Linked DNA regions of Schizosaccharomyces pombe. The gene in region 1 interacts genetically with each later gene. Each region holds a gene or a part of one and is shown on either strand. Other genes may lie near its edges.

Region 1 (4,961 bases):
TGCGTTTGACGAAGCTACCAGCCTTGGCTACAGAGACAATGTATCTTTGACACAGATCAAAACTTATTTGGAAATGGAGAGTCACGAAGAGAAAATTCAAGAAATTGTATCAAGAGTACGTGTTGAAGCATAGGGGTGGAGTCATCGAAATTTTTTTTGTATGGTTTTACTAATGCACTTTCTAGAACAAAGAAATTGAAGCAACTGAAGAAAGGAAGCGCCGCATCAAACAACTTGAATTACAAAAGAAAGAAGCTGCAAGACGGGCGGCTCAGAATCTTCCCAGTGCAGATGCGTATGAATCCATTGGGTATCAAACAGTTAATACAACCTTTGCTACGTCTAATGTTGAAGACGAATCTGCCATGGAGTCTTATCACGCTGCAGCAAAGGCTTCTTCTGCTCCCAAAGCGAAAGGAATGCAACTTGGAAAGAAGAAGAATACTAGCTTGTTATATTAATTTACTATTCCAGCGCCCTTTATGATCATTGCATCCGTTTTGGTTCGTTTCCCCTTTGTAATGTGCTTTTCCTACGATCATATGCGATAACTAGAAATAATAATCATTTTTCTATCCCAAATTAAACATCGTAATCAAGAGTCGACCATTACCAACTGTAATAGAACACTTTGTTCCTTTCATACCCTCCAGAATACTTCCTAGTCTATCCAATCGAAAAAAGCAGAGCAAACCTATATTGATTCATCACTCAACTAATATACCCGCTACCCTTTAGGAATGCTTCCTCTTGTTTCTAGGTAAACAATATTAGAACAGAGAAATCGTCATATAATATAACCCATTTATTCAAGTATATAATCTGGTTAAGACTTTTAACCCATCGTTCTATAAACCTCGTCAACAACAACAAAAAACCAAATTAGAAATCTATTTAAAAAGTAAAGCAGATTGGCAAACAAAGAAAAAGCATTCTATTTTTGAAAATAAAGTGTCCGATGAGAAAAGCGTGAAATTCTAATGAGAGTAAACCAGCAAAGCGAGGTACGATGAACTGGTAATGAAAAATAAAAAAAGGTAATAATTAATTGCTTTAGCATTCAATAATTAACAACAAAGTCAAAATTCCTCCAACAGAATTCTCAATAATAGAAAGACATGCGGCAACGGCGGAAGGATAAAAGGGCGTAACGAATAAATGGAGAAACCTAAAAGAAATTAAAAAAAAAAAATAAAAATATAATGAATATATGACCATGACCCTGGGATGCTATTAAAATTTATAAAATTGACCACGCTGAAGGATTTTAAATGTGACTGAAAGAGAACTTTTGGAAGACAACGACTCTAACTGCTCCAATATAACATCGGCAGGATTCGCCGACTGAAGAGGATGTGATTTCAAATGAGTGAGCAAACACGTAAGGGTAGGCATGATAACGCCATAACTCTGGACCAGAGATTGGAGTATACAAAGCTCGTTCACTAGATGTCTAGGGCAAAAATGACCAAACAAAAGAGTATCAGGGATGTCAGGAGTGGAGCATTCGATAAGAATATGAGAAAGCTTTCTTTGAGCAATTAAACTAGAGCAAGCTCTCCAAATATGAATGTTAAGCGGTTCTGAGGCTACCATATCGGGTTCGACGTCCCCGAAAGCCAAAAAGTATCTGTCGGATAGGTTATTCCTAAATAAAAATGCAGACGACTTTAGCTCTTGACCGAAAGAGGAGCCATGATTAACGGGAAAGGGCAATATAGACAAAGTAGTCGTTAAACTAGTATACATGGAAGGCTCAACCCTAAAAAGAGGTTAGTCTCATTGTCAAATGAGAAAGAGAAATGCCGATGGGGTTGATTTAGCAAATTCGCATAAGAGTTAAATTCATTAACTTGTTTGAACAAGAACAAAAGATATTAGAACAGTGAAAGAAAAAGAGATATAATTATTATTGCAATCTTTGCAATCTTTCAAATAATATCACTGTCTCACAAAAAAAATTGCACAAGTACCATGAAACCATGCAAATCAACCAAAGCGTCAGCAGATAGTTTACATATATGCAAAATATATAAATGTGTGTTCAGCAAATAGATTTGAAGGAAAAAAAGACGAGCATACATCTCTTCAACTAAGATGAAGAAAATAAAAAATTTTCAAAACTCAACATTGCCTTCCCAACCCTCAACCTATTCACTAAAACAATGAAAAAATTTTCATTTGACAGAAGCTATTGAGAAAGAATTTACTTACACCTGAAAATTAATAAATCCGGCTTTGTCGAGGGAAGGCCATAATAAGTTATTAAACACGTGCTTTTTTAGGGTATCGATCACATAGTTTAACCCAACTATGGTTCTAGGATTTTGAGGACCAAACATGGCGCTATTGATGACGGCTCCATAGATGTGGTCTAAATGACAGTGTGTGATGAGAAACGTTTTAATCCTTTGCTCTGAAAGGTGCCAGGCTTTTGCGTATGATTCATTTTCCACCGTATAATTGTCATACTTGGTGATGGAAGACCAAGAATCGACGGACAGGTGTTTTGACTGGATCAACTCAACCAACGCCGATAGGTGGCTTCCACCATCCAGCGATATAATTTCTTGAAATGCGCCATCAGAAATCAAATGACTGCTACAGCAAGACTCCAATGGACCCCCCTAATAAGTCAGCATGGCTCTCAATGCATAATGTTTGAATTCTTACATTTTGTCCCTGTTTTCGTTAACGTTAGTCGAAATTCTTCAAAAAAAAAAATATTTTTCGTTTTTCATACCAATGAATATAATGTAAAAGAATTTTCTACGAGTCCTACTACTTGATCGGTTTGAAATTCAGCTTCTTTGATTTCGAGTGCTGCATGCATGGCTAGGCTTATGGAGAGTTACAGATCTCCGGTGCATGCACTAGTCTACAAAAACATGTCGGTTGACGTCATATTTATTACAAGCATACATTTACTACCGTAGATTTAGGGTACGATAAACGATGCTCGAAATGTGGAGAAACTCGGGGTATAGTGTAGTGTGTTAATTATCCTTATTCATGTGCCCGCTTGGTGAAGAAGTATGCTATGAATAAATAAAAGGATGGAAGTCGTTAAGTGGAGAGGAACGAAGTTATGCTTTGCTGCTTTAAGTAAGATATTAAGAAAAAAAATGCGACTTTGATGAAACACGTTTGACATGTATCACTTCCTTATGAGAGCAATTTTTCCGAAGGTTCAATATACACCCTTAAAGAATGTCACGTAACGAGAAGAGAGAGAGCTATTTTTTATATAATTCCAGAGGTTTCCTTTTTTTATCGTTTAACATTTCTGAGGGGAAGTTTTGTTGCTTGTTTAACAATGTCGGCAGAAGTTTATGCCCTTCTCTTTAAGAGACCGACTAGCAAACAATTGTAAACTATCGGACACTAATATGTTTTTTAAAATAATAATTCATTATACATACAAAAAACTGAACCTCGTGTAATATAGATTTCCGTATGAACTTGGTTCTTTATCGGACTTTGAGGATTCGTAAGTCCCAGTCATTTTATCTGATTATGCTAAACTAACTCTTACTTTTTCATAGAGTACTTAGATAGTTCCAGTCAGTGCTGCTGAGAACCAGTTTGCATCAGTTAGGGAGGGTGGTAATCGTTGTAAGAGCTTTCAAAATATGATCTCCTTTTCCTTTATGCAAGATAATCAAAAGAAACATTCCTAAATTACCTATTTGAAGAATCTTTTGTATGTGCCGCTGAAATTGCTTTCCATTGAACTTTTTGTTGGTCTATGGAGAGAAATCATCATAGGTGCATAGCAGCCTTTAGGTAGATATTTTAATTAGCAATATATCCCAATTTTCCCTTTGATAATGATCGGTCTTTTTTCAATTAAGTCTATACCTAAAGGCATATTGGAAACTTGCTATAAAAGTTTGAAATAGAAACAATTCTCAGAATATTACTTGAATACGTTCTCTGTTTTACTCCCTTTTTTTTTTACTCACAAAGAATGTCACACTGCAGTATCGAATTGCTTTATTTGTTCCTTTGGAATAAAAAGGTAGATTTCCTTTTATTACAGCAAAAGATAACAAGACTAATAATTAAGCGGCTTTGTTTTTACCAGGAATTGCATTTTATGACACTACGCAAAATTAGAAATGTAAAAAAGCGCTTTCGAAAATTTCCTTTTACACTTTCATTATCAGGATTGACAACCCTATGAATTCCTCCGTTAAAACTTCTCACCAGCGGAATTCGATGAAGGTTGATGTTAACAGTATAGACTCAATAGCAACATTATACGAAAAATCATAATAAATTGTGAATAACCTTTTATTAATTGAGCGAATAAACATAGAGTAAATTTAATTAAGATTAATAATTATAACTAATTTTGAAGAAATTATTATAAAGAAAATAAATACATTGAACATCAACACATCCCCTTCAATTCATATACAAAGTGCATTTCTCGATTTTAGGACTAACTTGAAACACAACGCACAAACATTTCCACAACTTGATCTTTGGTTTTGGCGTGAAGGTTGTTAGTGCTAAGCTATACATTACTCCTTATACTTCATCGGTAGCAGGCATGGAGTGCATTTGATAAGCTTGATTGTTGGATGATGATGGACTGAAAACATTACCAGCCGCATCATACGAGGTACCATCAAAATTTATTGGAGGTGACCTATTTTTCGATTTGTCGGGTCTATTTGTATCGCCCTGCGTTGTTGTACCCGCTGAAGACTCACTAGCTGCATCCCAACTAATAGTTGGCTGCGATGTAGAATACGACGGAGGAGGAGCCAAGCTTCCAACCGCAGGAGCGAGTCTCCATTTCTTGATGTTTGCTTCAATAAATACATATCCTGCTTGTCCAAGATTGACATGTAAGGTACAAGGTCCAATTGCACCAACCGTAGGATACAAATTTCGATATGTACACGGCAGTTCTGCACACCGACGACCGTTACGTGTAAAGAAGATCCGAT
Region 2 (2,955 bases), on another chromosome or scaffold:
CTTCATTTACAACAAATAAAAGCTATGCATTTACTTAAAAGATAAAGAATTAATTTCATAGTAGTTGTATTTAAGGAATTCAAATTACCCTAAGAATTGATGCTTTCCTATCATTTTACCCGAACATGAGCTCTAAGTTGAGTAGTAAAAAATAGAAATGTTGAGTGCATAATTCAAATGTTGAATACTTGTTCTACCGTGCTTCATGATAGACGTTTACTTAACCATTTCCATCATGAAAAGAAATAAATAATAAAGAGAAAAAAGGAAGCATTGATGAAATAACCACAAAAGATTCTTTAAAAAGGACATTTCCGATATTCGCAGACGAAACAAAATAATGCGTAAAGCGAAATGTCTAAAGAGTTATGATAACGATACACATCTAAACCGACGAACAGAAAACGTATTTGCAAGACAGTTGAGCGATTACTTAGTTAATGAATTAAATCAAAACAAGCTTTCTGTTTTTATCACTTGCCGTAAGTGCTGAAGAATGAAGTGGTAACTTGAAATTAAAATTGATCAACCACATAAATTAGACGCTGATAGACAAAGCCGCAGATTAGTAAGAGCGAAAACGCAGCCGAGAAAATGTCACAGGAAACTAGGATTGATTGGGAGTCGTTAAAGCCCCATATATGATGCAAATGAAATCTATAGTAAATTTAGTACACTTTTTAACCGAGAAGTAGGACCCAATGTGAAGAAAAAGATCAAACCTATAGCCATAGGGCTTGACGCAACTTATCCAAAACGCGCGCGTCTTCGCTACAGGCAACTTTCTCGACAAGAATATCATAAGGAGCGAGAAACTTTGGTGCTTGAACAAGCGGTGGACCCGCGTCTGGATACAGTCCATATGGAATAGTGATACGTGAAAGGTTAACATCACTACTTGGCGTGACTAATGAAGGATCAGGGATAGGCGAAGAATAGGAAATAAGGTGAAGTTTATGATTTAAGGAGGTAGTAATACTAAAGGACTGCTTAATTAAGCCGTTCGGTTTGTAATGCAACCCCCGTAGGTTCTCATCATCAACCGACTCTTCATCACTCAAGCTCGCGGCTCCACTGTCCTCATTGCTGTAAGCATTTAGGGAACTATTACCAGTCGTATCTGCAGAGGGAGAGCGTTTAAGGGAACCATCGGTGGAAAGACCGTGATGGTAAGGTTTACGTTTACCCTCCATTTCTCGGTAGGTTAAGAATGAACCGCTGACACGAGAAGCACTCCATGATTTACCATCAGTCCAACGGCGCATTCCAGCTTCCCGTTCATCCCACACAAAAACACTGCCTGCTCGTATCAAGCTTCTTTCATGGTCGGACAATCGACGCTGGACGCGTGGAAGAAGACCAATTCGACAGGCCTCGAAAAGGATAATCGCATCCAACGGGGTCTTAATGATACCTGTATAAGTTTGCATGACGAAAGGCAAAGCCGATCAGATCGTAGTTTGAAGATGAAGTAAAATCAGAAAATAGCTGTCACGAAGATTCAAAAAAAAAAGCGCACTGGATTAGTTACCAATGCAAAGATCAAAAGAATCAACTAACGAAGCTCGGATTAAAGAGAAATAAAATAAATAGTTTTATAAATATAAGTAGAAGATAAGTTGACTGTGCGTGTATATATACAGCTTGACCGATAAATGGGTAGTCGAGTAAGTATACAGGAATGGAGACCTTCAATAAATTATGCAATTCAGTCCGAACGAACGCAAGATCTTAGGAAATTCAAGCAGGGAAAAATTAAATCTAGATATTATCTTCAAAGAAAATTCAGTTGCAAGACTAGCCGATTTGATTACCTTTTAGTACTTTCTAAAAGAAAATGAAACAATTAAACGGCAGGGAGAAGCAAAATTCAGAAACAATGAAGGAAAGTAAAAATTATTTAATAAATGATTTTCTTTCTTTTTTTAGGGAGTTATAATAAATATTATTATTCGCGGTTTCAACTGATCGTCAAAAAAACACCCAAAAAAAACAGACTTGACCAAAAAAACTTCCAATCAAGTATTAAATCTTTACAAACCCAATAGCTCACTTGTATGTTAAAAGCAAAGAAATTTAAATTCAGCTTTTTTAACAATGCTCAAGGTTGAAATTTGGCAATAAGAAACGTCACAAATAGTTAAAAATGGAAACAGTCGAAAAAATCAAGATAGATCAAATTTTTTTCTCAATGAAAAAATTAAACGAATCCGTTCACTAAAATAGAACACCTTTCTACACCGGTTCTCTAGTTGTGGTAAAAAAAGGTCCCTAAAAGTTCTTTGCAAAGGAAAAAGCTAATGTACGACAAGGCAAAGTAGCTGTTCTTTGGTTTACAATGCTTCAATCATACAACCGGTACAACTTCACTTGCTGTTAGTTTATACACAAATTTGCTTAATTTAATTTTGTTGTCCAACCTTTTTATTCGTCAAAAAGACGCTATTCGAAGGTGACAACGTTTTGCTGCTTAATGCAACACTGCGGTTGGTGAAGGAAAAGTTGAGTCAAGTAGGTTGAAAGATAGTTTATATGTGCGAGGCTTCGGTTATGTTAGCGAGTTAAATTTTTAAAACTCAAAAAAAACCTAATACGGTAAATATTCCGTAAATCCCTTACCCAACGCTAATCCCGATAGTTTTAGGCTGGTCTAACAATTTAATAAATATAATTATTTAGTTTCCGCTGCTAGATAAGATTCAAGGTAAACTTTTTCCCCAACACTGTTGATACGCCTTTAATGATCAACAACAAGATTACTTTGATTATCAAGTACAAAGTACAATGGAATATATTTTCAATCCAACAACTGCGTTCAAAACCAAAACCTGCCTTTCCAATATTTGAATTTTGTTATTCTTTAGTAGGGACCGGTTCATAAAACCGTTCGGGCCATTTCTTTTCCGACACTCAATTACTTTGGGATGAGTTAAACAGATTTAAAAATTTCAAAGA

Evidence for each region.
Region 2: of cgs2 (region 1) and pac2, changing one suppresses a phenotype caused by changing the other (phenotypic suppression), as found in Schizosaccharomyces pombe (one study listed by BioGRID).

The regions. Positions count from the first base shown.
Region 1 is NC_003421.2:1,809,799-1,814,759, forward strand, and holds cgs2 (dual-specifity cAMP/cGMP phosphodiesterase Cgs2), read right to left. Parts: upstream 2,846-4,961; 5' UTR 2,834-2,845; coding exon 2,744-2,833; exon of another isoform or gene 2,683-2,743; coding exon 2,674-2,682; exon of another isoform or gene 2,628-2,673; coding exon 2,215-2,627; exon of another isoform or gene 1,763-2,214; coding exon 1,234-1,762; 3' UTR 539-1,233; downstream 1-538. Other genes in the region: coatomer delta subunit Ret2, read left to right, coding at 1-115, 186-461; SPRY domain membrane protein, specificity factor required for ubiquitination Ear1, read right to left, coding at 4,537-4,961.
Region 2 is NC_003424.3:3,004,613-3,007,567, reverse strand, and holds pac2 (cAMP-independent regulatory protein Pac2), read right to left. Parts: upstream 1,431-2,955; coding exon 723-1,430; downstream 1-722. UniProt on the Schizosaccharomyces pombe protein: Controls the onset of sexual development, by inhibiting the expression of ste11, in a pathway that is independent of the cAMP cascade.